3 linked regions of the Pelodiscus sinensis genome follow. The protein of the gene in region 3 purifies or fractionates together with the protein of the main gene of each other region. This does not show direct contact. Links are inferred from orthologs where the notes say so. Each region holds a gene or a part of one and is shown on either strand. Other genes may lie near its edges. The genes, in order: KSR1, KSR2 and MAP2K2.

Region 1 (10,829 bases), on a different chromosome or scaffold from region 3:
AAACCATGAAGCGATGTGGGGCCAGTGATGAGGAATGTTCCAGACTCAATGGGGCTCTCACCTGCTTAAGGAAGGTGACTGAATCAGGTAGAGATTTCCTTGCTGTTTGATGGGATTAGTGGCAATGTTCCCTCATTTTGTCCCCATTCATGTGCGGAATAAACTTTGTTTTGTGCACAGAGACCTGTGTGAATGTGCATCATTGGAATCTGTCCTGGGTGGCCTCCCTTATGCTCAGGTGACAGGGAACCCTGATTAGTGGCTAATTAGACATTCGCACCACCCTCCGCCCCCCCCCTCCCCATTTTGTTTAATCTAAAAATCTTCTGGAGAATCTCTTGAGCTTATTCTGCTGGCAACATTTAAGGACCAAGTTTTTTGCTCTTGGATGCATGTGAGGTTCATATGATTAAAATGATCAGGAGCCACATACCCCTGGGAGGACAGGAAATGGCTCTCTGGGTGCATTCAGTTCTGGAAATGACTATAGAGCCACTTCTATCTCCGTAGACCTGCTCAGAAATCCGTTTAATGCCTGTGCTAACAGACTGTGCCTTCAGCTTAAAACTAGCACCCGCACACTGCTTTGGCACGTAGAACCTGGAGCATGTGAAGGTATCCTGATATTAGGGGCTTTGCCCACAGGGACTGGCTCCCACAGGCACTGGCTCCCAACCCTCGCCCTCTTCCTCCCTCTGATACAGAGACAGCAATGGGGGGAATTGTGTGTAGTTGTTTTGATTAACCGATAAGACCAGGCTTATTGGTTCGTCGTTTAAATGGCTATACACGAACATCCCTAGCAACTATTTAAAAAAATAGTGTCCCAGGGATTTTTTCATACTTGCAATCTCATGGCCCAAGCTGATCGCTATCTCGCTCATTAAGAACATATTCATTAGCAGGGTTGCAATTGCAGATCTGTATTGATGATGATGCCAGAGCCAGAAAGAACCTAGCATGACTTTCAGAGGGTAGGGAGGGGGGGAGTGTGTGGAAACATGAAGTAAACACCTTTCTGCAAACAGATTGGATCCTTTGTCAAGTCATAGCTAGTGGACTGTTTTTTCAAAGCCCTTTCTTAGAAAAGTGCTGTTCTTCAATGCACTGGCACTTTGTAGCTTTATGGAAAGCTGGGAGTGTTACTTGCAGCCAACTGTCATAATCAGCATCAGATCTTTCTTTGTAACAGTTACTGCTGTTGCTGGAAGGTGTCATTTCCTGTTGGTAATCTGACAGTTCATACCTCTGGCAAATCTAAGGACCTGCAAATGGAAAAGTTAGAGCAGAACTTGACTTCACGTTTCCTTTTCTTTTCTTTGCTTTTCTTTTTTTCCCCTTCTAATCTTTCCATTTTAGGTTGTCAAGTATTTTCCATCCATACTGTGACAAAAGAGCCATTACCTCTAGCTCAGGCAGTGCAGTTTCCTTTAAGCAGTGGCTCCTGACCAAAGTTCTAATTACTATGTTATCATTTGGCACGAGAGGTTGTTACTGGAGCAGAGGACGAGGAGCCAGGACTCTTGGGTTTGGTTCCCAGTTCTGCCACTGCTTGGCTGGTGTGATGTAAGGCAAGATGCTTGGCCTTGATCCATCAAGTCATTTAAACACATGCTGAACTTTAAGTTCGGGAGTTGTCCTATTGACACCTTGCGTGCTTAAAGTCGAGCCTGTGCGTAAACGTTTGGATGGACGTGGACCTTCTCCACCAAATGAGCCTGTGGCAAGTGAATAATACTTAGCACCTTACCAAATTCACAGCCACGTAGAGCCGTAGAACACGTCATGGACCATGACATCTGGCCTTGTGTGCTTTGTACCCTGTGCTATACAGATTTCACAGGGGAGACCAGCATTTCTCAAAATGGAGATCCTGACCCAAAGGGGAGTTGCTGGGGTGGGGGCATGGAATTGTACCCTTATTTCTTTGCTGCTTTCAGAGTTGGACAACTGGAGAGTGGTAGTAAGAATGTTGTCCGGGTGCCCAGCTCTGAAGGCAGCACCCTACCAGCAGCAGTGCAGAAATCAGGGTGGCCATACCATACCCGTGTCACCCTTCCGCACTGCTGCTTTCAGAGCTGGGTGGCCAGAGAATGGTGGCAGTTGACTAGCAGCACAGAAGGAAGGGTGGCAACACTACACCAGGTTGTCCTTATTTCTGCGCTGCTGCTGGTGGTAGCTCTGCCTTCAGAACTGGATTCCTGGCCAGTAGCCGCTGATCTCCAGCTGCCCAGCTCTGAAGGCAGTGCTACTGACGACAGCTGCGCAGAAGTGAGGGAAGCAGTGCCGCAACCCCTATAAAGTAATCTTGTGACCACCTCCTATGACTCCTTTTTGGGTCAGGGCCCTACAATGACCACACCCTGAAGTTTCAGATTTAAAAGCTGAAATCCTGAGATTTACCACTTAAAAAAATCCTATGACCGTGAAATTGACCAAAATGGATTGTGAATTTAATAGGGCTAGCCATGTGAAAGGTTAGCCGGTAAGCCAGGGTGATGCTTACTGGTTCTGGTTAACCGTGAACAGGCTGGAGCTGCTCCCCACCTGCCATGGGCAGAGGGCTGCTCCAGCCCTGCAGGGGGGCCGTCCGTTCAGAGCAACCCCTATCCACAGTAGGCTTGGGCATATTGCAGGCAGTGGCTGCTCCGGCTGGGCTGGATTTCCCCCCCCCCCCCCCCATCTTTAATAAGTTAACCAGTTAAACAATACACTTAACCAATTCAGTGGAATGGTTACATCCCTCCTAGGGCTCTAATAATACTCACCTGCCTCCTAAGGGGATGATGGAATTTAGTGGAGATCTTCAGCGGAGAGGCATTAGAGAAGGAAGTATTGTCCCTTCTGAGAGCTCACGTTACGAAAGACTCGACAGGTTCAGTCCCCTCCAGCCTACCCAGCAGATACTGGTGCTGATGAAATGAACGTTACTAGAATGTGTCAAAATGCTGGAATGTGAGGAGGAGCACTGCCCTTCTAACAGAGGCAGTTATGCCTTGATACTCTGGAGTGCCTGGTTTGTGATACGCTACAGACAGTGGCTAAGCACTACTGACGCATGGGGACAAGTGACAGGCAGAGACAACTTTTTTAAACATAATTTTTCTGGTTGGACACGACTCCCCCTTTCCCCCTCCCCAAGCCGTGGATGTGGGTTGGGGGGCTGTAATCTTTGATACAATCATCATTCAGACACATTTCTGCCTCTCTGATGTTAGGCCAGCTTTACAATGGCATCGAGTCATGTATAAATGTAGATAAATGCCTAGTGGGATTTACAGAAGTGACTAAGGGTGCATCTAGACTGCAGGGCTTAGCTCAATTTGCGCGGCTTATTTCGAGTTATCTCAATTGCATAGCTTATACCGAAACTGGGAGTGTCTCCACAGCACTTATTTCAAAATAAAACACTCTTCCTCCGACTTCCCTTGCTCCTCGTAAAATGAGGGTTACCGGAGTTGGAGTAAAGTCCTCCAGCTTGACAGTATGTCAACATTATTTCAAAGGAAGTGCCTGCTGTGTAGAGGCGGACTAAGTTATTTCGAGATAACGCTACTTCGAAATAACGTCGCTGTGCACACGTACCCTATGTGAATTAGGTGCCTAACCGCCAAAGACTTTCAATGTGAGTTAGACACCTAACTGACTTAACTCCTTTCAACAGTTTATGGCAGGTAGGTGCCTGTCTCAGTGGCACACTTCTTTAAATCCCACCAGGCAACTCTCTGCATCTCAGGTACCTAAAGAACTTGTAAATCTAGCCCCCAGCTGGTCATGCACCTTCTAGGAGGCAGGAGATTTATTTAGGTTTCGTAGCTCCTGGCTACCATTAGGAAAAGGGAACAGTTTTTGTTGCCGTCATTGGCAAGGAGTTTGAGCTGGCTGTTTAGAAGACTCTGAGGTATTGAACTAGTGGTCTGCCCAAGGAGAACCTCCTATTGTCCATAAGTCTCGTTGTGCTGATTTTCTGTCCATTGCTAACACTGAGACTGTTGCCGAACAGGTGGGGAGTTAAAAGAAGACCTGTTGTGGAATAATTCCGACGTGCGCCGAGAGAGAACCTCTGCTCACCCTGCAGAACCCCCCTGCCCACCAGGGCCTGTGTGGACTTCTAGTCTCCTGCATCTGTCGAAGGGCAACAGCCAGCAGGCCCGCTCTGTGTCGGTGTCCGCTATCGCTTCTTCGGAGTCTCTCGCCTCGAGCCATGGACCTTCTAACTATGCAGATAACTTCTTGGAACCGTTAGCGTACCCGAGCCACAGTGGCCACGTGGTATTTAGGACTCCTCACAGCATCACCATCACGCCGCCAACGACACCTCAGTTAAAAACGCGGCACAAATTGAAACCCCCACGGACTCCCCCTCCGCCTAGCCGGAAGGTTTTTCAGCTGCTACCAAACTTTCCAACCCTCACAAGAAGCAAGTCCCACGAATCACAGCTGGGCAACAGAATAGATGAAGTCCCTCCTCTAAAGTAAGCCTGGGATTTTCCAACTTCTTCTTAGTGGAGTGGGAATTGGGGGTGGGGAGGGTTCTTTTACACTCTGGGCTCTTTTTTGGGAGAGGTGTGGGGGGAGGGAGGGCTGCATGCATCGTTCCAGTTCCCATTTCTCAGATTACAAAATAACCAGGAAGTTTTGGAGACCACCTAGACCTGTTGTAAAGTAGAACGTAGCCGTCTGTTTTGATGAAGGCTCGCTGCTGAAACGTATGCTTGGTAGAAACACTCTGCCACTGTTACATGAGGCTAACAGTCTAGTAGGCCCAGTCCATGACACCTTTGTACCACTGTCACTATGGGCAGTGGGTGAAGGCCCAGGTGGGGAAGGCAAGCCCCAGCCCTTCCCTTTTTACCCATGCCACACCCCTTCTCCTGAGACTATGCCCCTTCGCCCCCCAGTCAAGCCTTGCTCAACGCCAGCTGTGGATGGGGGCTGCCGTGCCACGTGGCCCCAGCCCCTCCCAGCCAGCTGGGCAGCGTAGGAAATTCTGGGAAGGCAATGCCTTCCCTTGCTTACATTACCTGCCACCCATGGCCGTCCCATCCACGCTCTCAAATCAAACTGGGTTGGATCACTATGGACTCAGATTTGACAGAGGGTGGTGACTGGTTGTGGTGCTACTCTTCCCTTGGAATCCATGTTGGTGAACTCCCTTTCCCAACATTCATGGGCGTTTGCACTTATGACATTTTTCAGATCACACCTACTCTAGATTTAGATTTAGATAGCTTGCTGTTACTAGGGATACCAGTGGTCTTTTTTTGTGCAAGAGCCCCCTGCCCGATTCCATGTATAGCAACTTGATACACAGTGTAGTTGGCTATTGTGTCTTTCGCTCCTTGTTCTAAGCTGGGTTAAGTATTGCTGAGGCTTTTAAACAGCTGCATCTCTGTGACGGAAGAAATGAGATCTGGATGTAGTTCTGTGTATCCATTTAGGGCTTGCGAGATGCTTTGTAGGTATTTTGGGATGAAAGATGTTCTGTTAATGCAGCATTTGCTTATTTTTGGAAATGAGCATGAGCCAAGCACCCTGGTAAGTCAGAGTAGTCCTGGCTTTTGGGGAAGCTCAGATCAGGAGCCAAAGTTTGCAACTAGCATTAAACCAATGCCACTTAGCTGGCCCTTCTGCCCCTTTGAAGGAGTTGTCCAGCTAGGACCTGGCTTTACTGAAGGCTTGTACAAAGGAGTTGTTTGTTTATGAGCTGCTTTAGTGGTGAGTAAGGCAGTTGCACACCCTTTTATATGAAAGGGAGGGAAGGAAAGTTACCATAGTTAGTTATGGTTACCGATGACTATGGAAGAGTTAAGAACAAAACCACATGTGACAAATACAAATTCTGCTTCGCTTTCAAACCGAAGTGCGAATGAAGCGTGTGCTGGATTAGAGAGGTTCATCCTCTCTACAAACTGATTTCCGCAATGAGGGAGAGGTATTCCCTTGAGTCGAAAAGAGGTGTAGCTGGCTACAGATCTTTTGCTTTAAATCTAGTGGTGAAATCCTGGTCTTACTGAAGTCCGTGATAAAACTGCTGACTTCCGGAGGGCCCAAAGTCTGTTTGGGTGGCCAGGGTAGCACTTCATTGTTGTTGAGATTTTAATGGATCAAAATGGCCCTGCTCATCCTCCACATGAATTTGTATAGCTCCATGTGCTCTCTTTGTTTGGCGTGGAATGTATAAATGATAGAATTTACACCTCAGCAGCAGGGAGGGGGAGGGCTTTCAACAGAGCCTAAGGGATTTAGACTCCCACATGATTTGAATACCTAACTCCCTGAAATTCCTTTGACAATCCCGGTCATTGACTATCCTCCACTTTCACATAGTGTGTGCGTGCGCACGGGGATCTCTGTCCAGTGAATTATATCATTCATGTACACAATAAGGTGTACAAAATATTGCATATGCAAGTGCAAAGATGCCTTTGGGGGGAAAAACAGAGGCCATGTTTTGAAAATAGAGCCTTAAAGGTTGTAATGAGGGCTCTGCACTTAAGAGAGAAGTTTAGCTCATCTGTCACATGATCATTTGTGTTGAAAATTGTTTTGTTTTTTTTTTCTTTTTGTCTTCTAGGCTTGGTAAGAAACAGATTTTTTGGGGGGCAGTCTTCGCATCGTTGCCTGCGGGGAAAAGAATGTCTTATCATTGTGGCACCAGTATGGTCCTGTTTTTATGCTAACTTTTTGGAAGTCCTCCATGTCGAGCAGTTGTTAACGTTGGCAGACATTTCCTAGCATGAGCGCTGCAAGATCAGTCCTCATTTGTTAACACGAATAGAGCAACAAAAAGAAACCTTGATACTGTAGGGATTGGACCTGCATTGAAGGTGGTTTTGTTTAAAATTTCTCCCGTCTTTCCACACTCTTGGTATCAACATATGTTGGTATTTAAAAGCTCTAAGTACACAACCGACCATTCAGCATCAGTACATACCATTACCAGATCCTTCTATGTAGCACAAAGTTTCTTAAATTTCACATAGCCTTGGCTTTAGGGATCATGCAATGCCTGTATCTGCAACATGGGGCTTTGTGAGTAAAATGTAATGGTTGCTTAAGGCTTAGCTGTGCAAGGTGCAGAGTATGCCTGCTCTAACCCAGCAAAACACGGGCTCATGCTTAGCTTTATGCACACAGTCAGTCCCACTGGAGTCAACAGGGCTAGTCAGATGCTTAAAATGAAACATAGGCTGATGTTTTTCAGCATTGGGAGCAGTGAACTCAGCAGCTGTCACAATCAAACTCCTAGCACTTGAACTGTGGTATGCTATGGTGTGACAGCAGTGGTCGGACAATACACGTCTGCCATGCACCACTGCCTTCATCATAAAGCTAAAACAGAAAACCCCTTGTCCTTTAAAATGTGTTAGCTTTACTGTAAAAAATAAAACTAAGACTTTCATGTGCACTATATGGGTGGGTAGGTATTTATAAAGCATAACTGCTTTAAAAGAGAACCCTAGAAGTTACTTTCCCAAAAATAAATGGTTGCTAGTTCATAGCGGCTTCAGCTCGTGCCCAGATTGCTTTTCTTGGCGCAGCCTGGCCCTAGGTCTTCAGATGCTACAGGCAGGTGACATTGGTCAGTGGCCCCTTCCTAAGGGACATAGCTGCAAAAGGTAGGTGTTTGCAGAACCGGGGAGGACAGAGGGAGGGAATTTTCATTCACCGTCCCGTAGGTGTTTCCCAGGAAATCCACTTCACATGCGTTGTCCCAAAAGTCCATTCATATCCGCTGCACTGTTCGGTATAGATCTTTCATCGACCAGGCCACAATTATTTAATCTGATGATGCCAAAGATACCGACGCTGAATTTAAGGAGGCGTTTCAGGGATCTGGCAGGAACTAATTGCCATATCAATCACACAAGCTGCTTTTTCTAAAATCATGGCTATCCATCAAGCACGGTCTGTAAAATTGGACAACATAGGTACTGTAGGGTCCATCTAAGCAGCCCGCAGCAGCAAGCCTCCCAGCCCAGATCAGTAGACCACAGCTAGTGGGGCTAATGCTCTACAACTAGCTGTGCACACAGGGCTCTGGCACTGTGGCTAGGGCTGCAGTTTGGGCTGTTTTTTAAGCACTAGTGCATGTTCCGCAGCCCCAGTCTCTGGACCCAGGCTGGGAGACTTGCTGCCAGCTGGGTAGAGAGAGGGTGGAACATTTCTGTGATGTATCAATAAAGGATCTGCTGCCATCTAGGGACAGAATGGGAAATGGGTGTTCAGAAGTATTGGCACGATGCATCGGGAGCTGTGCATTCGGTGTGAGGCCCATCTGTGGGGTACTGAAATATCAGCATCCTGGAAAAGCTGGCAGAATAGAAATAAAACTCTAGTGGAAGCAGCATTGCCTACTAGGTAGAGCACTGGACTGGGACTTGTGAAACAAAGCCTGGTTTCCCTGGCTCTGCCACTGGCCAGCTGAATGACCTTGGGCAAGGCACTTCGCCTCTCTGTGGTCAGTGCCCTAACTGCAAGATGGGGATAATGATTCTGATCTCCTCTGTAAAGTCCTTAGTGATGGACTGGTGCAAAGCCTACCTAAGAGCTGGGCGGTAATAGTCATAACCAAGCATTATTTGGTGGTCCCCTTCCAGATCAAGGCTGCCCTCCTAAGCAGGCATTTGAAGCTGGTTTAAAATTGGGACTCCCCTGCCCCGCCCCCGAAACCCTGTTTTTGTTCCTTTTGTTTTCTTAATAACATTTTCTTGCTACTATAGGGCTAGACTTGTGTAACCTTTATTGCTGCTGGAGACATAATAAGACTACTTGTGTGAGTGAGTCGGTGCTCCTCAGAGCAAGTAAGCATTGCCCAGACCTACCCCATAGTACTCAACGGGACAGGATGTATTTCAGCCTTGTGTTTGATTTGCCTTAAAATGCTAGCAAGCTGATGGGAAATGCGAACCATCCACCAAGCCGTGCAAATATTTATTAGCATGTCTGATGGGGCCTCCTTTAAGGGGTGCTGCATTTGTAAGATGGGTGGACTTTCCCCATCTCTAGTCGTGATCTTGTAATAATAATTTGTTTTCCCCTACTAATAAGTTCTATAAATCTGCACACTCCTACTAAATGTAGAGCAGGAAACCATTTACAGCTTATATTGGTTCCACACACGATGAAAAGAGCAGCTTCTGGGCAATGTTCCTGCTCATCTTTTTCAATCCACGCACGGATGTGTTTTTTTTTATCCGTGTGCAGAATAAATGTATGTGCACTGAAGCGTGTGTGAATGTGCACTACCAACAGAAACAAAACCTCACTTTGGGTGCTCTGCTGATCAGCTAGGTGGCATTGGAATCTCCTGAGTGGCCTCATGGTTACCCAGCTGACAGGGAACATTGATCCTGGGGCATGTGAGCTATTGCCATGATTTGAAACACTAAGGCCTAAGGGCAAGCGACTTAGTTTCTCAGTTCCCATTGAACTCAATAGCTGCTGGGGGCCTGACGAGGGGGGGGAGGAGGTGCATTACTGATCTCTTGTGCAAACACAGGTGTAGTTGGGCTCTCTTGGTGGCATTTGCTGCTCATTGTTCCCTTAGAAATGAGATTTTCATGTGCAAATTTCCCTTTAGATTTCTGAAATGCTCACAAGTTAAGGGCGGTTTGGTTTTTTTTGTGGCTAACATGTAATTTGTTCTCCCCACATCAGATCTCCCCCAGGCATCCCCTCAGGCAGGACGAAGAGACATCGGCTTATCAGTAACACACAGGTAAACACCACCACCCAAGGCAGCAGGAGTCACGAAGGAAATGAAATGGCTGTTGCTTTAATGGGCGCCATCACCTTTTAGAACAGTTTATAGCTGGGGCTAATCTGAAGCTAGGTCTACACTGAGTGTTTTATGTGGAAGAGGAAATGCAAATGGAGCACTCGTTTGCATATCTTGAGCTCTCATTTGCATATCTTCTTCCGGTCCTTTTTGCGGAAGAGGTTTTTGTGATAACAAGCCCTGTATAGACGGGGTCATTTTGGGGGGGGGGGGGAATCCTTTTGCACAAGAGTGCCTTATTCCTCAAAAAATGAGGTTTACAGGCACTTGCTCAAAAGAGGTTTTTTTCTGACAAATGGCCCCCTCTACATGGGGCTTTTTGACGCAAAAACCTCTTCTGCAAAAAGGACCGGAAGAAGATATTCAAATGAGAGCACAAGATATGCAAACAAGTGCTGTAAACTGTCTGTCGTTAACCAGCAGTGTTTCGGTGACTGATTTTCTGTTGAACTAGCCCCAATATGACACTTTCCCTTCTTCTGTTCAGATTCTCTACAAAATCTTGGTTATCTCAGATGTGCCACGTGTGTCAAAAAAGCATGATGTTCGGTGTGAAGTGTAAGTACTGCAGGTGAGCACAGACCGCTGGTCCTTACTGAAGGATGCTTCGTTATCGATGTATTATTTGTTCTCTGAGATGTATTGGCTTTGTTTATTAGTTTGTTAGAACTTTGGGCCCTGATTCTGCCCTGGGGTCCTTTAATGTAGAGAATCGTGGAGGGAGGGAAACCATGATCCACTGATTAGGGTGGTATCTTGAGACATGGGATACCCTCGTTCCATTCCTTGCTCTGCCACAGGCTCCCTAAGTTACCTCGGTCAAGTCACTTATCTGTGCTTCATTTTTCTCAACTGGAAAGGGAGGTGAATAGCACCGCCTTACTCTCACAAAACTCATGTGAGATAAATGCATAGAAAACAATGTCGTGTTCAGATATTACAGTAAAGGGGCTATAGAAGTGCCTCGTAAAGGAGGGCTACATCTGGGTGCAGGCCTCGGCCTGCTGTCCCATCACAGTGCAGCACTGGGTCCCTACCAGTTTTT
Region 2 (10,076 bases), on a different chromosome or scaffold from region 3:
GCGCATGGGCTGCCCCCCCGCCGGAGCCCCTCCGCGGCTTTGAAAGCCTCGGGGGAAGCCGGCGGGGGGGCATCCCAGGCGCGCATGGGCTGCCCCCCTGCCGGAGCCCCCCCGCCGGCTTCTCCCGAGGCTTTCGAAGCCGCGGAGGGGCTCCGGCAGGGGGGCAGCCCATGCGCGCCTGGGATGCCCCGCCGCCGGCTTCCCCCGAGGCTTTCAAAGCCGCGGAGGGGCTCCGGCGGCGGGGCATCCGGCGTACAAGACGACCCCCGATTTTTGGGGGATGTTTTTTAACATCAGAGGTCGTCTTGTACGCCGGAATATACGGTACAGGTTGAACCTCTCTAGTCCAGAACCATCCGGTCCAGAACCATCCATCGTCTAGAATGATTTTAATTAGCAGGATGTCCACTTTTCATGGATGTGGCCAAGTTTTCCATAGTCTCATGAAGTTTGTTTACAACCACCTGTCCTTGCTTTCAGTGTTCTGTGCTGTTATTTAGCTCTAATTTACCCTTAAATGTCACTGAACAACCCAGTAAGCAGTGGAAGTGTTAGTAATGCTGCTAGACAATATTGACCTCCCATAGTCCAGCAAATTCTCTGATTCGGAACTGGTCAGGTCCTGCAGGTACCAGACTAGAGAGGCCCTGACCATAAATGTTCTTCATCTTAATTTGCTATTTAAATAGCAAAGTATAGACCAGCTCTGGGCAATAACTTGGTAAAAATACCATAGTTGGATTCCCTAGGGCAGGGTTACTCAATACGGGACCCGCAAGCCACATGCACCACAGCCCGTTTGTTTGTGGCTCACAGTGCGGTTTGAGCTGACATGTTTTAGTAGTTAAATTTCTGGACAGTTGTGAAGATAAAACAAACAAGTAGTCAATAGAATGGTCTTCTGTTGAGTTAAATTCCTGGACTGTCATTGCTCATTAAAAGTGCTGTCATATGGATGGAAATTGCGTAAATATTTCATTTTATTAAAATCAGCAGAACAGACTTAAATGGGGCCTGTGTGTTGTTTAGTCTTGCCTTAATCTTTGTATTCATACCCGTCCGTGTAAAAGAAGCTATTTGCATATATATGCAACCACGCTTAAGTTGTGGCCCTTGGAATGTGCTGTATCATTGTAGCCCCTGGGGCTTCCGAAGTTGACTACTCAACACATGGCCACAGCATGGTCCTAGCCCCCTGCTTCCTCACCAGACTGTCTCAGCCAGCCCTGCCCACCGGAGCAGCCGCTTGCTGCCCAGGTTCTGCTGCGCGGCTCTCCAGAGGAGGTAGGCAGGAGAATAATTTTTTTGTGCATGGCTGCGCAGGTGCACACCTTATTGGGAACTGTGATTACAACCTCCCTTTCGATGGGGTGCCCAGAGAGACGGAGCCTCCCCAAGAATAGGCACTACTGGCCAGGAATGCACTGATTCAACACAACCCTATTCCAGCCTCCACTAACAAGGCTCCTAGGAAGCTCCAAAATGAAACTAAAGATGCCTCTGAAGACACTCCAAGAGACAGTGGGGATACCATCCCTCCGGGCAAATCTCCATTTCAGAGCCTGGGCTCAGGCAGGTGTAGCTTGCACTTCCACAATAGAATTTGGACTTCAGTGTTTGCACTGGGGGCTCACATAAAGCATGCTGGGTGTCCCTCTGTAAGAGAACAAGGGTTCACCACTGCCTTCTGGTAGAGAGAGAGACCATTTTCTACTATTTCCTCTTTTAGTGAAGTGAAAAATCATCACGTCCCTCCCAGACGTGTGGAACTGCCCATTGCCATGAACTTGGAGCCACTTTATGGACTTGGACAAGGGAGCTGGATGGCTTTAGGAGCTTGTTAATGGCACACAGCGCTTTTCACCTCTGCAGCATAGATTCTGTGCCCTCCAGCTACCTAAACAAACTCTATCCTGGCTGTCCGAACTGCCCAAAGAGACACAGTAATTAAAGTGGCTATTTAGGTGTTGAGGTGTCTAACTTTAGGCTTCCAGGTTAGAAAACCTGTTAGATAAAAAATGCAGTAAGTTTCTAGTACACATAGTATAAAAAAAAGCGATGAGAGGCAGTAAATCCCCAATGAGCAACAGCCACGTGACCAAGTTAAACAACTCCTTTTCGCCTCCTTTCTCCAGCAGCATTTACCCCATGTTATGACACAGTCATTTGCTTAGTTCCATGCTCCACAGCCAATTTTCAGCTGATTTGCATCTTCCACATAAAACAGATTGATGATAAAGTCCTCAGGGGTTCTTTACCTTTTGCACATTGGGATTCTTCTTCTCCCAGGTAGGCACCCCAGATTGAGAACCCCTGCCCCAGCAGACTTTGGGGATTCTCTGACATCTGTTTAAATAAAGTCTCCCTTCTGTTTAAAGGCACATCCACACATTCAAATCCTGAAACTGGCAAACATCTAATTATCTTTGAAAGAGAATCTATTTACCTGCAGATGATTGGCTAAGTGGCTAGTCCTTGTCCATTTCTAACTTCTATGGAAACTGCTCTGTGATTTTTTATTTATATTTCTTCCACCTTTTTCTTTTTAAAAACATCATTAAGCTGAGACTTCTTGTGCTAAATTTCAACTGGGGGGGGGGGGACATGAGTGGAAGGAGGAAGGAGTTAAAACAGCAAGCTAGAAACCCACACGGAAAGGGGAGCCCCAGGCTAATGTATCTTTTTCAAACACAGTTCTTTCACTGAGGTGGAGCTGGCAGAAGCACTGTCCCCTCTCTCCACCCTACCCCTCCCGCATTACAGGCCCCAGTTTAGCTGTATTGGGGTTTCAAGTCTAAGATATATGGTGACACAACCTTCTCTACAGCAATGATGCTAGAATAAAATGCAGCAGGGTCTGTCACCAGCACATTGCCAGATGTGGAAGGCTTCAGGCCTCAGAGTCCTTTTAAAATCTCCTCACCTCCACCTTTACAAGTGGAGAGTGAGGACAAGCACCCTGGTGGCATACATGACAACTGCATGTTGTCCCACCTTATTACCATCCCAGCCCCTGGGAACTCAACCTGCCTCCTCTTAGCCCCTTTTCCTCTGCTTCCATCAGAGCTGCCATTACTACTGGCAAGCACCACCCAGTGCACATTACCCAGTCCAATTAACGCCGTGAGGTTCCGTCTTTTCCCCCTAGCCCTCCTGGTATTTAAAATGAATCTCCAGTGCGTACATGCAAGTTATTTTTAACTCCTCATGATCACTCCTTTGCAAACCTGGCCTTTACAAACTGCTACCCAAGCCCTCTCTCTAGGTCTCCTGTAATATACACAGGGCTGTTGAAAAGAAGCTGTAGATCTCCTTGTATGCATGAAGCCAAAAGATCTGTTTGATTAATGCAAGATTAGAAAGATTCACAGCTGCATCACTTGCGGGCTCCCAAGAGGGGATCCCCAGTACCTCCATTCAATGGGGCAAGATTGATTTATATTTAAGCATGCAAATTGTTCATTGCACATGAAGGGAAATTGTCCACCCAGAGATCTGTGGTTTGCAATGCAAAACTGAATGCCTGCCTCCTGACATTAAAAAAAAATCAGAGGAGTATAGGGGAAAGAGCTATTTATAGGCAGCCACATTTTATGTGCAAGAACCACCTTTTGGCCACCTGCAGCACGCGCAGGCTCATTTGAGCTCACTGCAGCTCCTTAATTTATTACACTGCACACAAGCCCCCATTGTATATAAACAAATACACTGTCGGGGAGGGGGGACCTACCTCCCTTGCAAAGGCTCACAGCAAAATAAAGGCAACTGAAAAAGTAGACCGGGTTTGCCAGATTGCAGAAACATACAAAATCATGCATATTTTCTCTCCCCCCCCCCCCCCAACACACAACTATATTCGAGGGAGTGGGGGAGGGGAGAGAGCGTTTGAAATGCTCCCTCTGCATGTTTGCAAAGGTAAAACCTACCTCTAAGGTTCTGATCTCTTTTTGCGTCAGGTCGTTGGAAGTGGCACATTTGGTCCGGAGCCCCTCCAGGTTGGAGATGCTGATATCAATCATGTTCTGGACCAGCTCGCACTGCTGCAAGGCTTTCTGCAAACTCAGATGCTGCTGCTCTTCGCTTTTCGTCATGTTTTCCTCATCCATAGCTCGCTTTGCAGCCCCCTCCTCCTTCTCCTCCTCCCAGATCAAAGGGATGGTGGTATCCCACTCCCCCCCCAACCACCCCCACCCCCTGCTCCTTCCCACCCCCACCCCTCCAGTCCTCAACAATGCAACGTGAAAGGAGCCAGCATCTTTCCACCGGAGACAACAAGCCTCCCCCGATCCCCCCCCAACAAAAATAAATAGCGAGCGTGGATCTGATTGTGTCAAGCAGCCTCCATTCGAGTGTCCTCTCCCCTGTGAGTGCCTCCTCCGGAGGGGTGGGGGGAGAGCGCGCCAGTGAGATGCTGGGAGCCGGAGCACCCCAGGTAGTAGGGCTGATGCTGTGTGTGTGCACTCAGGAGCCGCTCTGTTTACACACCAGCTCCATGCAGGATTTGGGGGGGGCGTTTCTTTCTGCTCACCGAGGTTTGCCCCTTGCCTTGAGGGGCTTGCATTGTCCACCTCGTGCGGGAGGCGGTGGAGGTAGGGGGGCGGTGTGCATTAACGGCTCCTCCAAGATGCTGCCTGCATTGCCTCCTGCTCTGATGCTGCTGCTGCCTGGCGCCCGTGCAGGCTGCTGCATCCCCTTCTGCCTGGCTCCCACACCGACATCTTGCCTGTCAATCAGGGCGGCGCGCGCCGGTCCCCGGGAGAGGCGCGAGCCCGTAGTGCGCGCGAGCCGGGTTCGCTAGGCGAGGGGCGCGCGGAGATTCCCGGAGCAAGAGCGTGTGTGTGGGGGGGGGAGGTGTTTGCAATGGGTCTGGGGCAGGGATGTAGCAGGGGCACCCCAGGGTGGTTGTGGGGGAGAAGTGCAGCAAGGCACCCCAAGGTAGATGTGGAGGATAGTACTTGACAGGCACAGTAGTGGCACCCAGGGTAGGTATTGGGGATGGTGCTGAAGAGGCAACCCTCATCATTAAGCTGAAGAATTTTAAGTGCCAGTCCAACATCTTGAAAAGCAAAAGATGTCAATATTTTGGGGTCATAGTCAGGTGGCACTTGACCAAGATTCCTGCCTGAATTTGGTCTGCTAATGGGATCATTAGCTTCCCTGACCTGGGCCAGGTACAGATGGGGAGTACTGATCCACTGACTGACTGCGCAATTGCCCTGTCTTTCCAAATGGGGTTTTCTTAAGACTTGCAATTTACATGTGGTCATCTTCAGACTTTGTCACATATCCTTGACAAGGTCCACTGACTTACTTCCATGGTGGGTTACTGGCTGATGATGATGCTATCAAATAGCTATAGCAGGAGTACAAGAGAATGGGGAATACTGTAGGGCCACCTTTGGCTCCCATTTTTGTCTATGGAGATCAGGATTTGGCCCATAATTAAGTGATTATTTCCAAATGGCAAAAAAAAAAAAAACAACCCGACCCTCTAAGCATCATATTCATGCTTGCTGCAAATTGTCTCCCCCCCCCCACACACACACACACAAACAGTTACTCCCTGTCTGCTTGGATTTCATGCGAGTTACTGTATTAGAAATGCTATTCTTGGTTGCCACATATTCAGTGCACATATGCTGAGGGGTCTCTTATGAGCCTGGCTGCGGTGTTGTATAGGTCTTGTGAATAGGCTCCCTTTATTTAAAAAAAATACTAGAGTACTCCATGGTAATGGTCCCAGAAGCAGCAGTCTTACCTTTGCAAGCTCTAGTATTACATCTAGTTTAGCTTATAAACTTGCAGGGATCTTGTCTTCACTCAGTAATAACAATTAAAGTGTAATGGTACCTAAGAAGCATCCCATGTATTCCAACTATTACTGTAGTTTTCCCATGTGTTTTTCTCCCCAATACTCCCTGTTTGGGAGTTGTTTACAGAACAATTGAAGAGACAATACCACCTAATTTTAGGTGCATAATTTAGATATTTTAGAAACACATTTTCTAAAAATGTAAAAATAAACAGGGGGATAGAAAGAGTATTATTATTGTCTAGTGTCAGTAATATGCCTAGGAATTAAAAGATACATTTGAAGGATCAAGTCCTGTGTTTATTAGCAAACCAAAGACCCACTAGCTTCAGTAAGTGGAATGTGCAGGGATTTCAGAATTTGGGCTGTACATTTTTGATGGAGAGTGTCCCTTTCAACATAGCAGAAATAGAAGCATTGTCAACAGAAAGATGGATGTGCAGTAATCATCACCTGTTCCCTTACTAACCAGGCTTACAGTAAGCTGGCTGCATAGCTGGACAGACAATAGCAACAGTTTCAAAAGCTCCTTTATTCTTAACTCCCTTATCACCTTTATTCAAGGGGGAATTAATATTGTTCAATTACATTCTAAAATCTTGTTTGGTTTACTAATTTGCATGGGCAAATCAAAGTGATTGGGGAAATCAGTGAGATGAAGGTAAACAGGATAAAGCCGTATAGCAGGAGTACAAGAGAATGGGGAACACTGTAGGGCCAGCTTTTGCTCCCATTATTGTCTGTGGAGATCAGGATTTGGCCCATAATCAAGTGATTATTTCCAAATAGCGCAAAAAAAAAAAAAGAACCTCTAAGCATCATATTCATGCTTGCTGCAAATTGTCTCCCCCTCACACACACACACACACACACACACACACACACACACACACACACACACACACACACACATACACTCAGTTACTCCCTGTCTGCTTGGATTTCATGTGAGTTACTGTATTAGAAATGCTATTCTTGGTTGCCACAATAGTATTTTAAATGCCAGCATCTTTGTACATGTAACTTCAGGAAAATTTGGCTCTAATGCTGTAATGGACAGGAGGAGTGCTGACCAGCACCTGGTGACTAAGGGGTTAAACTCAGGTAGCTAGCAAAGAGGTTGGCAGGGAGCCAGCGAACCAATGGGCATACGGGGTTGAAATTTGAATTGTATAAGATTCCTTGCCAGCTTTCTTTGTGTGGTAGACAAAAACCAGGAGTTGAGAGACACAGAGGGTATGTCTACACTACAGAGTTTTGTCGGAAAAAATGGCTGTTTCTTCGATAAAACCTGAGTTATGTCCACACTGCAATCGCGCTCTTCCGAAAGAAAATGGAAAGAACAGAGTGGTTTTTCCAACATTGGTAATCCTCTTTCTATGAGGAAGAAGCCTTTTTCCAAAAGAGCTCTTTCGGAAAAAGGTGTGTGTGGATGGGAAAGAGGGAGTTTTTCTGAAAGAAGAGGAAAGAGGAAAAAGCACAGGTGTCCTGGTAGCCACTCCGTCCATAGTAATCACAGCTTAAATGCGAGACAACGTCCATCCAGTGTGGACGCTATTTTTTGAAAAAGAAGATCACTTTTTCAATGTGCTTTAGTGTATGGACGCTCTCTTTCGGAAGAAGTTTTCTTGGAAGATCTCTTCCAAAAAGAGGTTCTTCCGAAAAAAGCCTGCAGTCTAGACATAGCCAGAATGATTTAAACCCAGGCAGGACTAACATGTCAAGGAATTCCAAGCATGGAAGTGGGCTGACCCAAGGAAAGATTGGAAGTAAGTAAAGGGAAAAAGTGGATCTAGTCTTGATCAGGGTATTTTTCTTTATTTTGCAGTTTGGTTTGAACTGCTCTGTGTGAATCTATGCTTCCCCTCCCCAATTACCATCTAGCATTGTTCCCAGAGGTTTTCTTCTGTGTTTTAATTAGTTTTCCTTAGTTGCTCTGTAACATCTAACAACCAAGTATGCTTTATCAAGTTAAACTTTTGTTTTGTAATAAAAATCACTTTTTTTAAGGTGATGATTTGATTCTTGTGTCCTGGAAGGAACAGGAAGTCTGTCTGTCTGCCTCAGACTGAGAGGTCAGCTACCAGAGACTGCAGCTTGTTTATCTCTTTTCTTTTTTCAAGCTCTTTTAGGGCAAAAGAGCTTGGGGTCCCCTGGGAGGTGGGTTCAAGTGCTCACCGCTGGTTTTAGGGATAAAATCACTTGATGGTGGAATCTTGTTTGTTTATTTCTCAGAGTCAGGGAATCCGTGACTCTGGCGAGTTTTTATAAGCAGAGCCTAGATGTAGAGGCAAAGGGTTTTTTTCTTTTCTTTTTGAACTCTTTGTGGGTCCCCACATTCTACACTCAGAGAAGCAGAGTGGGAAACAGCCCTGACAAATGCTAAAAAGGTTTGAATATTGATGCACATTGATTCTCATGTTATTAAACAAATTTAATTTATAGGTAGTAATTGACATCTCATGCCAAGCTTCCTTTTCACCCATGCAAAGGAACATCAGTTTCATTATCCCCATTTTACAAAGAGGTAACTGAGACATAGAGGCTATGTCTAGACTGCATTGCTTTTTCAAGATACCAGAGATATCCCAAAAAGCAACGCCACATCCAAGGAACACTTCCACTTTTTCAAAACAATTTAGAAAAAGCGGGTGTGCTCTTTCGCCATCCCTGTAAACATTGTTTTACGAGGAATAAGGGATGTGTTGAAAGAGCACTTTCTTTCAAAATTTGGTGCCGTGTAGACACGCCAAATTTCAAAAGAGCCTCTTTCGAAAATAAATTTGGATGAAGATACACAATTTGCGGTACACAAATTGTGTATCTTTTTCCAATTTAACATTGTAGTGTAGACCTAGCTGGAGAGTCTAAGTGACTTGCCCAAGTTCACATATCAGACCCATGTCAGAACCCAAGCCTTGGCTTATCCCAGCCCAATCACAGCTATCTATGATTAAATGCAATTGCTGAGTTCCATTCATCACAACTCATGCAGGAAAAACTACCTCTGTCTATGGAAGATTTGCCTGACTCAGGAATGCTAGATTAGACCAACTTTAAACTCTGGCCAGAGCAGCTAAATTTTGGCTATAGATCTGGGTATCAAGTAGACAATATAAATCAATCTATGGGTATGTCTACCCTGCAGTGCTATTTCGGGATACTCCCAGAATCCCGAAATTGCTGTTCCATGTCTTGAAAGCGTTCCCATTATTTCAAAATATCTTTCTAAATAACAGGTGCTCTATTCCACGAGAATTAAGGGACATTTCAGAATAGCCATTTATTTCAAAATTTGGCACTGTGTTGATAGCACCAAATTATGAAATAAGCTATTTTGAAATACACTTGAAATAAGCTACGTAATTTGTGTAGCTCAAATTGCATCGCTTATTTTGAGCTATGGGTGCAGTGTAGATGCACCCTGTGAGTGCAGATTACTGGAGGCCAATAGGCATGGAGAGAAGTTGTTGCTTTCTTCAGTATTTATTAGCACTTGTGGCTTTGTATTTTTTCTGGATGATTGATGGATAGAGCCATACCACCAAGTTGTTGGGGGTTGTACATTATAGATCTTTGTTATTTTGCAATTTGAGATTTTCAGGATCTGTGACCAAATAATGAAGAAAACAGCATGAGGGAGAAGATCTGAAGTATTGGTAAGGAAAGAAAAGGAGACAGATCCTTCACTGATTTACACATGTGCAACTGCATTGACATTATTGGGTTACTGGCCTTACCGGGGAAAGCTACAAATGTGATATATTTTGTTTTTACTAAGGCTTTGACACAGTTTCACACAACATTCTTATAAGTAAACTAAGGAAATACAGTCTAGATTAAATTATGATTAGATATGGACCCACATGATTGAAACCCTATATGCCAGGAGTAGTTACAACTGGCTTGCTGTCCAGCTGGAAGGGGACTTCTAGTGGGAATTCCATATAAGTAAGTGCTGGGTCTGGTACTAGTCAATCTTTTCACTCAGAACAATGGAATGGAGTTTGTTATAAAATTTGCAGATGACACCACAATGGGGAGGGTTGCCATCACTTTGGAAGACAGGATTTGAATTCGATACAACCTTGACTAATTGGAGACATGTCTGTAATCAAATGAGATGAAATTCAGTGAAGAGAAATGTAAAGTACTTTCCTTAGGAAGGAAAAAAATCAAATGCACAGCTCCAAATTGTGGAATAACTGGCTAGCTCACAGTATTGCTGAAGGGGATCTGCGGGTTACAGTGGATCACTAATTGA
Region 3 (10,399 bases):
GTGAACAGGTGTCCATATCACAAGAGTCACAGTTGTTGGTAGTTTCATCAGAAAGGCTAAGGAGACTAAACTCTCTTCTCCCTGCAAGGGGAGGATGTTCCAGATCAGAGTTGAAGCACAGAGCAAAGACTAGCGTGGCTGCCTGAGATACTTGTTCTAAGGATCTTGAGGAGACTTGGTCTCCAGAGCTCCTAATAAGGCACCCTTTACCAGTATGGAATTCATTTAAGGAAGCAGAAGGGATAGGCTAAGCAAAATACTGCTTTTCTTATAGGGTAACAGGGTGACTTTCTATTACAACCTCTCTCCTGTGTAGGCCAACACAAGCATAAGAAAAAAAATACGTCTGCCTCCTGTCTTTTACCTTTCGTGCCATAATGAGTCCTGAGGGTTTGTGCTGCACTTTGGTGACTACCCCACCATTACCAGCTCCCAGCTCGGAGATCCTCTCAAAGTCGTCATCTTTCAGCTCCCCAACCTTGGCTTTCTGGGTGAGGAAAGCCTCTAACCTCTTCTTTTGCTGCTCATCCAGTTCCAATTCCTCCAGCTTCTTCTGAAGATCTACCAGGTTAGCCCTGAAGAAAAACAGGGAGGAGAAAGACAAACTATGAGAGCCTGTTCGAATTTTGTCTTTGGCAGAGATACGTGTCCCTTCCTCCAGAGGAGATGGCAAAACTGTGGGGGTGTGGGCAGAACCTGCTGGGCATAAAGGAACAGGAGTTCAATTGGCAATGGAGGGATAAGAGAGAGGTTACCGCCCAGGGAACAAGTGCAGAGCAAGGAGGTGCCCCATGAGGCCCAGTAGAATACAAGAAGTCCCACATATCATTCATACTGAACCCCTTCAGCACTGCCAGCGGGAAGAAAGAAGAGAAGGGGAAAGCCCTACTGACAGGGACACAAGTGCTGTATTGGAGATAAATGATGCAGCATCTTCCCAGAAGCACAGATTCCCTCACAGAGATACATTTTTTACATTCAGTCACTCAAGCAAAACTATGAAACCAAAGGGAATCATTAAAACCTTACAGCAGGGAGAGGAGCATTGGCTGTGCCAGCAGCCGCTCCCCTTTCTGAATCCAGGGATACAGCTGGGCAGTCCACTAAGTAATATGAGACAGGCTTTCCATGTAGCTATGCAAATCCTACAGCTTAAAACACTACACCCCTCACCACCCTGCCCAAACATGATGCCTATCTATTATCCAAGCACAATGGGGTATTTATGCTCCGACGCCACCTATCTTTTGGAGCCCTGATTGGGGTATCTTTGGACAGCAGAAAACTGGACCATCAGTGTGATAGCTCCACGCTGCTGGGCCTATTTCCCCTTCAAAAGCCACCCCAGCCCTTGGATCCACAATTTTAATGAACACCCTTTTTTTCAGAGGGTGCTTTTTATTATCAACCTGCCAACCCTCCTACACAGAGCCCGCCTCCTCTTCCTGGCAGATGCTCCCCCCCCCCTGCTACTCCCCCAGGTTTGTTTCCTAACTTTACATTCACAGGGGACTGCTTATGGTGAAGAACTGGGTAGTGCTCCAAGCGCTTGGGAGAGGTGACTCTTCACTGCAGTGGTCTCCAATCTTTTTAACCACAAGATCACTTTTTCAATGCAAGTGCAATGTAAGATCTACCTCAAACCCAAATACCCTTGCCCTGTTTCTTTCCCACCTTTCCTCCAAGGCCTCACCCTGCTCACTCCATTGCCCTTCTTCCTCCATCCTCACTCACTTTCACCAGGCTGGAACAGGGGGCTGGGGTGCAGGCTCTGGTCTTGGGCTTGGAGTTTGGGAGGGGCTCCAGGCTTAGCTGAGTGGGGGATTGGGGTCCAGAAAGAGTTTCAGGGTGCAAGCTCTGGGAAGGAGTTTGGTGCAAGGGGACTCACGTCTGGAGCAGGAGGCTGGCTATAGGAGGCGGTTCAGGGCTGGGACAGGGGTTCAGGAAGCAGGCTCTGGCTGGGCACCGTTTACCTGAGAACGCTTCCAGGTGGTGGAGCAGTGGGGTTAAGGCGGCTTATGCCTGCCCTGGGCCTGCACCACTCCTGAAAGCAGCTGGCATACACAGCAATGGACCCATGGTACCATATGCTGCCCCTCATCTACAGGCACTAAGCCCACGGCTTCTACTGGTCACAGTTCCCCATTATTGATCAATGGGAGCTGCAGGAGTGGTGTCTGCAGGCAAGGACAGCATAGGGCAACCCCCAGCTCTGCCTTTCTCATGGGCTGCAGGGACATGCCAGCCACTTCCAGGAGCAGCAATTACTACGGGGATAATATTACTTCAGACAGGACAGGTGAGGCATTTTAAAACTCACTACTCAAAGAATTAAATTTAAGTGTGAGAGAAATGAAAATTATGAAATGCACAGACCAGTCAAAAACAAAAAATAACCCACTTTGCAAGCAGTAAAAGAAGTAACAACCCCCCCCCCCCCATGTGTGTGTTGGGTCAGCAGATGAGAGTGAAGGACAGCGTGTGTTTGTGAGAATGAGAGACACACACAGTGTGTGACAGATTTGCACTGCCAAGATCCCTCCATTCCCTTCTCTCTGTGTGGAGGTGGGGTACAGAAGTGGGGGGAGAGGGAAGACACCCGAACATCAATGCCCCCCTCTTCTCCCTCCCACACACAGTGGGCAGAGGAGCAACTGAAGTGCTTTATAGCTTCCTGGCCAAACCAGTCAGAATCACCTGTCAGAGGCTCCAAGATCTAATGGTAGATCCCGATCTACTTGTTGGTGACAACTGCTTTACAGGGACTGCCCTAACCCACCCCCCAAAACTCAGCATCTCCGAGCCCCCTTTCTGTCTCCAGTCCACCCACCCCATCTACAACCCCTCGCCCCACAGCACCCCACAGACCCCAGCATAATCTCTCACATACACCCCCGGGTGCCTTTGTCTCAAGGTAGCATGGGCCTGGAGGCCTCCGGGCCTAACCCGGGCCACCTCCCTTGTCCCCTGGGGGCAACCCCTCTCTCATCCCCCCACTGCCAAGTGAGCTGCTGCTCCTTTAGTCCGGCAGGTCCTGCCCCACCTCCGCCCTTCGCTCCCGGGGGGCACCACCTGGACCAAGCCCCATTCCCGGTCCCGAGTCCTCACCCGCCTCTGCCCGTCCACCTTGGGCTTCCTGGCCCAGCTTGGCAGCCCCTGCCTCCCCGGGGCCTGGCGCCCTCCCCAGGGCTCTTTCATTCCCCCCCCCCACCCCGCTAGGCACCCCCTCCCCCGCCTCTCCCTTCCTCCTTCTCCCTCCCCCCCGCCCCCCCACCCTGGGCTTTCACCCCCCCAGCCCCGCTTGGCACCCCCCTTCCTCTCCCTTCGCCCCCCCAGGGTTCTTTCACCCCCCCCCGGCCCCGCTTAGTACCCCCCACTCCCCCCGGCCCTTCCCCCCCCCGGGCTCTTTCATCCCCCCCCCGCCCCGCTAGGCACCCCCCTCTCTCCCTTCGCCCCCCCCGGCCCGGGCTCTTTCATCCCCCCCCGCCCCGCTAGGCACCCCCCTCTCTCCCTTCGCCCCCCCGGCCCGGGCTGGCTCCCCCCGCCCCGCTAGGCACCCCCCTCTCTCCCTTCGCCCCCCCCGGCCCGGGCTGGCTCCCCCCGCCCCCCCCCAGGGCTCTTTCATCCCCCCCCGGCCCCCCCCGCACTCACTCGGAGGAGCCGTCCGGGCTCGGGCCCTCGGCGATGGTCGGGGTGATGGTCAGGGCCGGCAGCACCGGCTTCCTCTTGGCCGGCATGGCCGGGCGGGGCGGGGCGGGCCTAGCGGGGGCGCCGCCGCATGGCCCGGCCCGGGCCGCGCTCCCCCGCGGGGCTCGGCGAGCCGCACTACGCGAGCCCGGGGCTTTGCGGCCTGGCCGGGCAGGGGCAGCGCAGGCCGGAGGGAGTCAGCGCGCGGGGCCGGGCTGCAGCGCAGGCGGGCGGGGCTGGGCGGGCGCGAGCAGGGCGGGGAGGGGCGGGCGCTCCCGCCGCGGAGTCTCGCGAGAGCGCGCGCCCGGCCGCCAGGCGCGGCCCCCGGGCAGGGCTGCGGTCGCCGGGCGCGCGCTCAGCGGGGACGCGCAGGGAGAGGCGCTTGGGAGGGAAAGAAGGGGGAGCTAGTGGGAGGGGGAGGAGGGATGAGAGGAAGGAGGAATGGGAGGGGGTGGAGGTGTGGGGAGGAGGGATGAGGGGGGAGGGATGAGAGGAAGGAGGGATGGGAGGGGGTGGAGGTGTGGGGGGGAGGGATGAGGGGGTGGGGGGATGAGGGGAAGGAGGGATGAGGGGGGTGGAGGTGTGGGGGGAGGGATGAGGGGGTGGGGGATGAGAGGAAGGAGGGATGAGGGGGGTGGAGGTGTGGGGGGGGATGAGGGGGTGGGGGGATGAGAGGAAGGAGGGATGAGGGGGGTGGAGGTGTGGGGGGAGGGATGAGGGGGTGGGGGATGAGAGGAAGGAGGGATGAGGGGGGTGGAGGTGTGGGGGGGGGATGAGGGGGTGGGGGGATGAGAGGAAGGAGGGATGAGGGGGGTGGAGGTGTGGGGGGAGGGATGAGGGGGTGGGGGATGAGAGGAAGGAGGGATGAGGGGGGTGGAGGTGTGGGGGGGATGAGGGGGTGGGGGGATGAGAGGAAGGAGGGATGAAGGGGGTGGAGGTGTGGGAGGAGGGATGGGGGTGGAGGGATGAGAGGAAGGAGGAATGGGAGGGGGTGGAGGTGTGGGGTGAGGAGGGATGAGGGGGTGGGGGGAGGGATGAGAGGAAGGAGGGATGGGATGGGAGGGGGTGGAGGGATGGGGTTGGGGAGGGTAGGACGGGTGGACAGAAGGATGGTGGGAGTGGGAAGCCTGGGGTTTTGCAGAGTTATTAGCTGGGAATAAGGGTGTTCTGTAACTGTAGTTTTCATCATGTAGATTCTCAGGAGCTCTCATCGATAATAAACCATACATGTTTCGGAGAAGGTGGAAGGATGCAGGGAGATCCACCTTTCTGTCTGCCTAGGCCCTCACATGGCTCCCTGCCTAGAGCATGGGCGCACTTCCAACCGGCTTTCAAACAGAACAAGAACATTCTCTCTTTTTTCCTCCTCAGCCTTTAGGAGAACTAACTGGATTAGTGTATAAATTGTTACCAGTGTGAGAGAGTGAAATCAAAGAGACAATACTGCAGTTAGTTCAGGGGACTAAGGGCTGATGCTCCTTCTAGATCATATTCTGCCACTGATTCTGGATGCTGCAGAAGACCAGTAACTCTACTGTGCCTGATTTTTATCCCAGTAGGGTGCACATACCAGGGTGTTGGCTGAATTAGAAATCTAGGTAAATATGTGATAAAATATCACTCATTGTATATGAATCATAACCACAAATCGATTCCCTCATGACTAGGGCCATACCAAATTCACAGCCATGAAAAATGTGTTATGGATCATAACATCTGGTCTCTTCCCAGAAAATCTGACCTTTAGTGTGCTTTTATTCTGTAGGATACAGATTTCATGAGGAAGGCCAGCGTTTCTCAACAGGGGCGGGGGCCTGACCCAAAAGGCAGTTGGAGGGGCGTCACAAGGTTATTTCTGGGGAGTCATGGATTTTCCGGAAGTAAGTGTGGCAACACCACACTATGCCACTTCACTTCTGCATTGCTGCCTTCAGAGTTGGGCAGCTGGAGAGTGGTGACTTAGCAGCTCAGAAGCAAGACCATGGAATTTCAGATTTAAATAGCTGAAATCATGAAACAAACAATTTTTAAAATCCTGCGCCTGTGAAATTGACCAAAATGGGCTAGTGATCAGCTAATGCCTTAAATCACATGCTTGTGGCACCAAGTAGTTCTTCCTCCTCTTTTCCCAATTCAACCCCCCTTCAATTGCCACCCAGGCCTGGACTAATCAATCGGAACCCCCCTCCCTCCAATCTGATTTGGTTGTGGAGCTGATGAGATGGCATTGCTTCGTTGATCAAAGGGCAATGTTCAGTTGCCTAATTACATGTGAGCAATTAAAATCAACTGCATTCCTTATCCCAGCAAACCCTGATAACTAGGTTGGTACAAGTGCCAGGAGGCTGAATTACCAGCGTCAACTTTGACAGACAGGGCGTGACCCCCCCAAAAAAGACGCCCCACACAAGCCATTTTCCCACTTTTCTTCACCCAGTTACTATCACAGCCCCTCTGTGAGCTCCCGACTCCAACATGATGGTGGAGGGAATTCAAGGTTGATAAATGAGCAGTAACACACTCTGGAAGACTGAATCCCAAGTGTGCGTACAAAAGGATGGAGGCCCGATTAGCTGTTGCCACTCAGGAAAGAGCTAAATTCAGTTTTCTCCAAATTTCAGTTGTGTTGACATGCCCCCCCAGACTACTTTCAAGTACCCCTAAGGGGACTCATATCACTGGTTGAGAAACACTGGTCTATCTAGAACAGTGTTTCACAATTTTATTTGGCCACGGAACCCCTAGAGTTGCCTTAAAAAAAAAAAAAAAAAAAGGCCCCTGCCACATTTTGTTGAGAAGAAGAAAAAAAAAAAAGCCTTTGCCATGGCTCTGTCTCTTTAACAGGGGGCGGGGGAGTGCCGGCTGTTTGCAGAACCCTTGCTTTCTCTTCGCGGATCCCCAGGGTTCCCAGAGCACCAATTGGGAAACACTGATCTAGAAGATCGGGAATGGTTTGGAGAAAATGAATAGGGGAGAGTTATTTACCACTTTGCATAACACAAGGACCAGGGGTCACCCCATGATGGGACAAGGCAGGAGGCGTAAAACTAATGAAAAGGAATGCTTCTTCACACCATACACAGCCAACCTGGGACACTTGCTGCCAGGGGCTTGTGAAGGCCAAAAGCACAACTGAGTTCAGAAAAGAACTAGATAAATTCCTGGAAAATTGGTCCAGCAATGGAGTGAGCCAAGATGGTCAAGGTCACAACCCCATGTCCTGGGTGCTCCTAAATCTCTGCCTGCCAGACGGTGGGACTGGATGACAGGAGATGAATTCGAGGTAAGTGGTGAGGGGAATCCGGGTGGGGGGTTCCTGCCATGTGACCCCCAGTTTGGGGAAGAATCAGGACAACCTCCCCTCCGCCCTAGGCCCCGCCGTCTCTGCCCCTGCTTTGCTTCTTCCCCATGCTTGCTCTGCCTTATCCTGCTTCTTTCCCCCTTTACCTTTAGGTCTCTTTACTACAAAGCACCTTGGATACTCTTATAGCTGGGGCAGGGGACCTGCAAAAGTAAACATGAACAACAATAGAAGTTTGACAGTTTGTTGGGGGAATGACACAAACCTTTGGATAATCAGGAACTTGGTGAATTGGGGCTGCATTGGCCTGCGTCTGCTGGACTCTTCAGCTGTCAGATGGCCTCAACTGTGCTCAGGAACTCAGGGAGTTGTGCAAACTGCTGAAAGGCAGCCACCTCTGGGGTGGGACGCAGACACTGTAGAACAGCACACAGCAATGCTACAAAAGAGGTCAGGAAAGGAAGTGAAGGAGAAAGCCGTAGCCACTTGATGCTTTATGAGGGCAGTAGGGAGACAGAATAGAATTGCCTGTGGCTAAGGGGCTGCATTTAACTTAGGATGTTAAAAAGCTGTTAATTGGGTAACTGAGTAACTGCTGAAAAACTTAGCCATTATACGGTTACAAGAGGCCGGCTTCTCAGCTCCTGCCTGCAGGCCCGGGTCAGGAGCAAGAGTGTAACCATTAGTCACCGATAAGCCCAGGCTTACTGGCTAACCGTTTAAACGATTACCGTATTACATCCCCACATTGAACCATTCATATCTTGCAAGCAATGGCACGGGCTCTTGAATCAAAAAGACCTTTCCCCTTCCAGTGACTTACGGCATGAACTTTAAGGAGGCAGGGAGTTGTGGGTTGGCCACCCAGCCATTCGGAATGCCCCGAGCTCTGTCCAGCACGTGCTGGGCTCCCCATCACACCCAGGATGGCAGGGGCAGGCTGTCTCTTCACTGGCTGCTCCAGCAAACTTGGCTGGATGGGGATGCCCCCGGCAGCCTGGGTTTAGCCGCTCCCTGCTGCCCTTAGGTTCCAGGTCCCAAGGCTCTACGGGTCGTTCTCAGCCATCCCCCCAGGCTGCCTCCTGCAGAATGTGAAGCTGCAACCTGCCAGCACAGCCCCCTGGCTCCAGTGACCCCGCCACAAAATCACACACCTGAGAACATTGCTCAATGAAGGAGCTTGCTCCAGTCTATTGCATCACCCGGAGCTAACAGCACCAGGGTGGGGTGGCAGGGGGAGGAGGGTTAAAAAAAAAATCACCACTTCCTCTTTTTGCCTCCCCAGCGTCGGTTCAGGCACTGTGTGGGCTTTGGCCTCCGATTCCCCTTGAAGAGCGGCGCGGGGGCAACCGTCTGCTTTGGAGGCTGTTTGGGGTCCGTGCTTTTGCCCAAGCGCTCTTCTACCACCAGCTGCAGACCCCCTGTTCCCAGGCCCCTGCAGTGTGCGGGGTGGGTGGGGGAGAACCTGCCCACTAAGCAGCAGTAGAGCCCTATCTCGCTGTGGCAGCGGGGAGCTTCGTGTGCCCCCGGGAGTGTTGCTCAACAGAGCAGCCTGAGACTCCGTATTCCCTCTTGGGAGCCCTGACTTCTGCTAGACCCTGGTTAGCCTTCCGCCCTCCCTGCCGTGTTTGACTGGGCCCTGCTTCTGGACAGAGGCAGTCTGGAGCGTCCCTGGGATCAGTGGGGCTTGGGGGTGAGGGGATCCGCTCATCTCACTCTCCTGTCAAGTAGGGGCCTAGCAGGCAAGCCCCATTGTGTTTACCGGAGCGTGGCCATTGGGATTCAGGCGCCCTGCACCCTCAAGGCCCAATCCTGCGCACGGCTCCGCACCTCCCTGGGACATCCACAAACTCGAGGTCCCTCCACTCCTCCTGGAACAGCCCCAGCTGGCTAATCAGGAGATGTTGTGCAATGAGATAACAGTGCTAGAGGCCGACCTTGCGTCTCACTCAGCGCCTTGCCCCTCCCCAGCGCTGGCTCCGGGGCCATGCCCCAGTCACAAGGTTTCTTACTCATCTGGGCTTCGGGATCCCTCCCTCGGCCAGTGGGAAACCCAGCCTGGGCCTCCCATTGCCGGAGACGGGTGACGACGGCCGGGCTCAGCTAGGGGGGATGCTTGTAGATTCCCCACTTGGCTTCCATGCTCAGAGGCACAATCAGGATCAGTTGCTAAGCCTGCCACCCCCTGGGCAGCATGGAGCAGGGCCGGCCTGGCACCTGGCTAGTCCATCTCAGGCCTAGGCTTCCCTGGCCCATCTCTGACTTACCCCCCATCTCTCCCTGTGGCTGAGAGCAGGATCAGGGCTTCCTAGCGCAGCATGACAGGAAACACCAGCCCAGTGCATCCCCTTGCCCAGATTCAGAGGGTTCTGGGTGCGGTTACTGGAAATGCCTCGAAAATGCATTTCCCCACGTCTGTGCACCAAAGGGCAAACTGGCACTGTGGGAACACCCATGATCTGCAGGTGAAGCACCAAGAAAACCACCTTCCCCACCACATCCTCCCCCAGCCCAGCTCCAGACAACACTTAATGAATTTAGTCTCTCAGCCCCCCAAGACAAACCTGCCTCAATATCTCCCCTGCCGGCGGGAGGGACCCTGTGACAGGCCCCCCTGGATCTCTGTGCTGGCCCCAGGATTTGAACCAAGATGCTCTGGAATCCAAGCCCACCCCAGCCCCCATCTCAGACCTCCTGTGCTACCATCATCCCCATGTCAAGGCTTGCCAGCCAGCCAACCTCGACCTGCTGTGCATCTACATCTCCCGCCCTCATTGCTTTCTGGCTTCCTTCAGGCTGAAGCACATGGCCTGGCCTCCCTCGGCTCCTCTCCTTCGTTCAAATCTGGGCGGAAGAGTCATTTCTGTTATGCCCGTGCAAGATGGGGAGTGAACTTGCCACCTCAGGATCTGAGAGCAGCAGCAGCAGCTGCCTGAGCTAAAGGACCAACCCCTCTTAACTAGCCCTAGAGAGGCTCAACTGGTGGAGCTACACTGGAGCGGGACAAAGCCCAGAAATGAATGGCTCTGGGGGGCACACGCCTCTTCTAAGGCATCCTGCTCGACCTTCTCCATCCCCATCGTGGGGTGGGAGTGCCCGGCTCCTCCTAAAGCGGGGCTTCACGCCTGCCAGCCCTCTCACCACATGCGCCACCCTCTGAGTGTCTCAGTCTCCGTCGACAAGGTCCTTTCACTTTGCACCCGCTCCCCTACAATGGTCCGGCCTTGCGGCCATAGTCCGTACAATATCCCTCCTCTTAGGGTAGTGAGGCCCAGTGGCCAGGGTCCTTTCCACCTGCTTCCTCGGGGGGGTGGGGCCTAGTGGCCTGAACCAGTTATCCCGCCCTTCCCTTAGAGCAGTGAGGCCTAATGGCCTGAGTTTGCAGCAATTTCCTTCAAAGTAGGAATAAGA

What was found.
Region 1: the proteins of MAP2K2 (region 3) and KSR1 purify together in Homo sapiens (affinity purification with mass spectrometry; 4 studies listed by BioGRID and IntAct, with this or other methods). This does not show direct contact. The link is inferred for Pelodiscus sinensis from reciprocal best matches to the Homo sapiens genes MAP2K2 and KSR1.
Region 2: the proteins of MAP2K2 (region 3) and KSR2 purify together in Homo sapiens (affinity purification with mass spectrometry; 3 studies listed by BioGRID and IntAct, with this or other methods). This does not show direct contact. The link is inferred for Pelodiscus sinensis from reciprocal best matches to the Homo sapiens genes MAP2K2 and KSR2.

What each region holds. Positions count from the first base shown.
Region 1 is NC_134731.1:10,837,295-10,848,123, forward strand, and holds the start of KSR1 (kinase suppressor of Ras 1), read left to right. Parts: upstream 1-6,680; 5' UTR 6,681-8,807; exon of another isoform or gene 8,808-9,663; 5' UTR 9,664-9,724; intron 9,725-10,271; 5' UTR 10,272-10,299; coding exon 10,300-10,355; intron 10,356-10,829.
Region 2 is NC_134725.1:11,016,083-11,026,158, reverse strand, and holds the start of KSR2 (kinase suppressor of Ras 2), read right to left. Parts: upstream 4,135-10,076; 5' UTR 4,107-4,134; coding exon 3,927-4,106; intron 1-3,926. UniProt on the Homo sapiens protein: Location-regulated scaffold connecting MEK to RAF. Has very low protein kinase activity and can phosphorylate MAP2K1 at several Ser and Thr residues with very low efficiency (in vitro).
Region 3 is NC_134729.1:22,175,076-22,185,474, forward strand, and holds the start of MAP2K2 (dual specificity mitogen-activated protein kinase kinase 2), read right to left. Parts: upstream 3,923-10,399; 5' UTR 3,738-3,922; coding exon 3,652-3,737; intron 576-3,651; coding exon 365-575; intron 1-364. UniProt on the Homo sapiens protein: Catalyzes the concomitant phosphorylation of a threonine and a tyrosine residue in a Thr-Glu-Tyr sequence located in MAP kinases. Activates the ERK1 and ERK2 MAP kinases.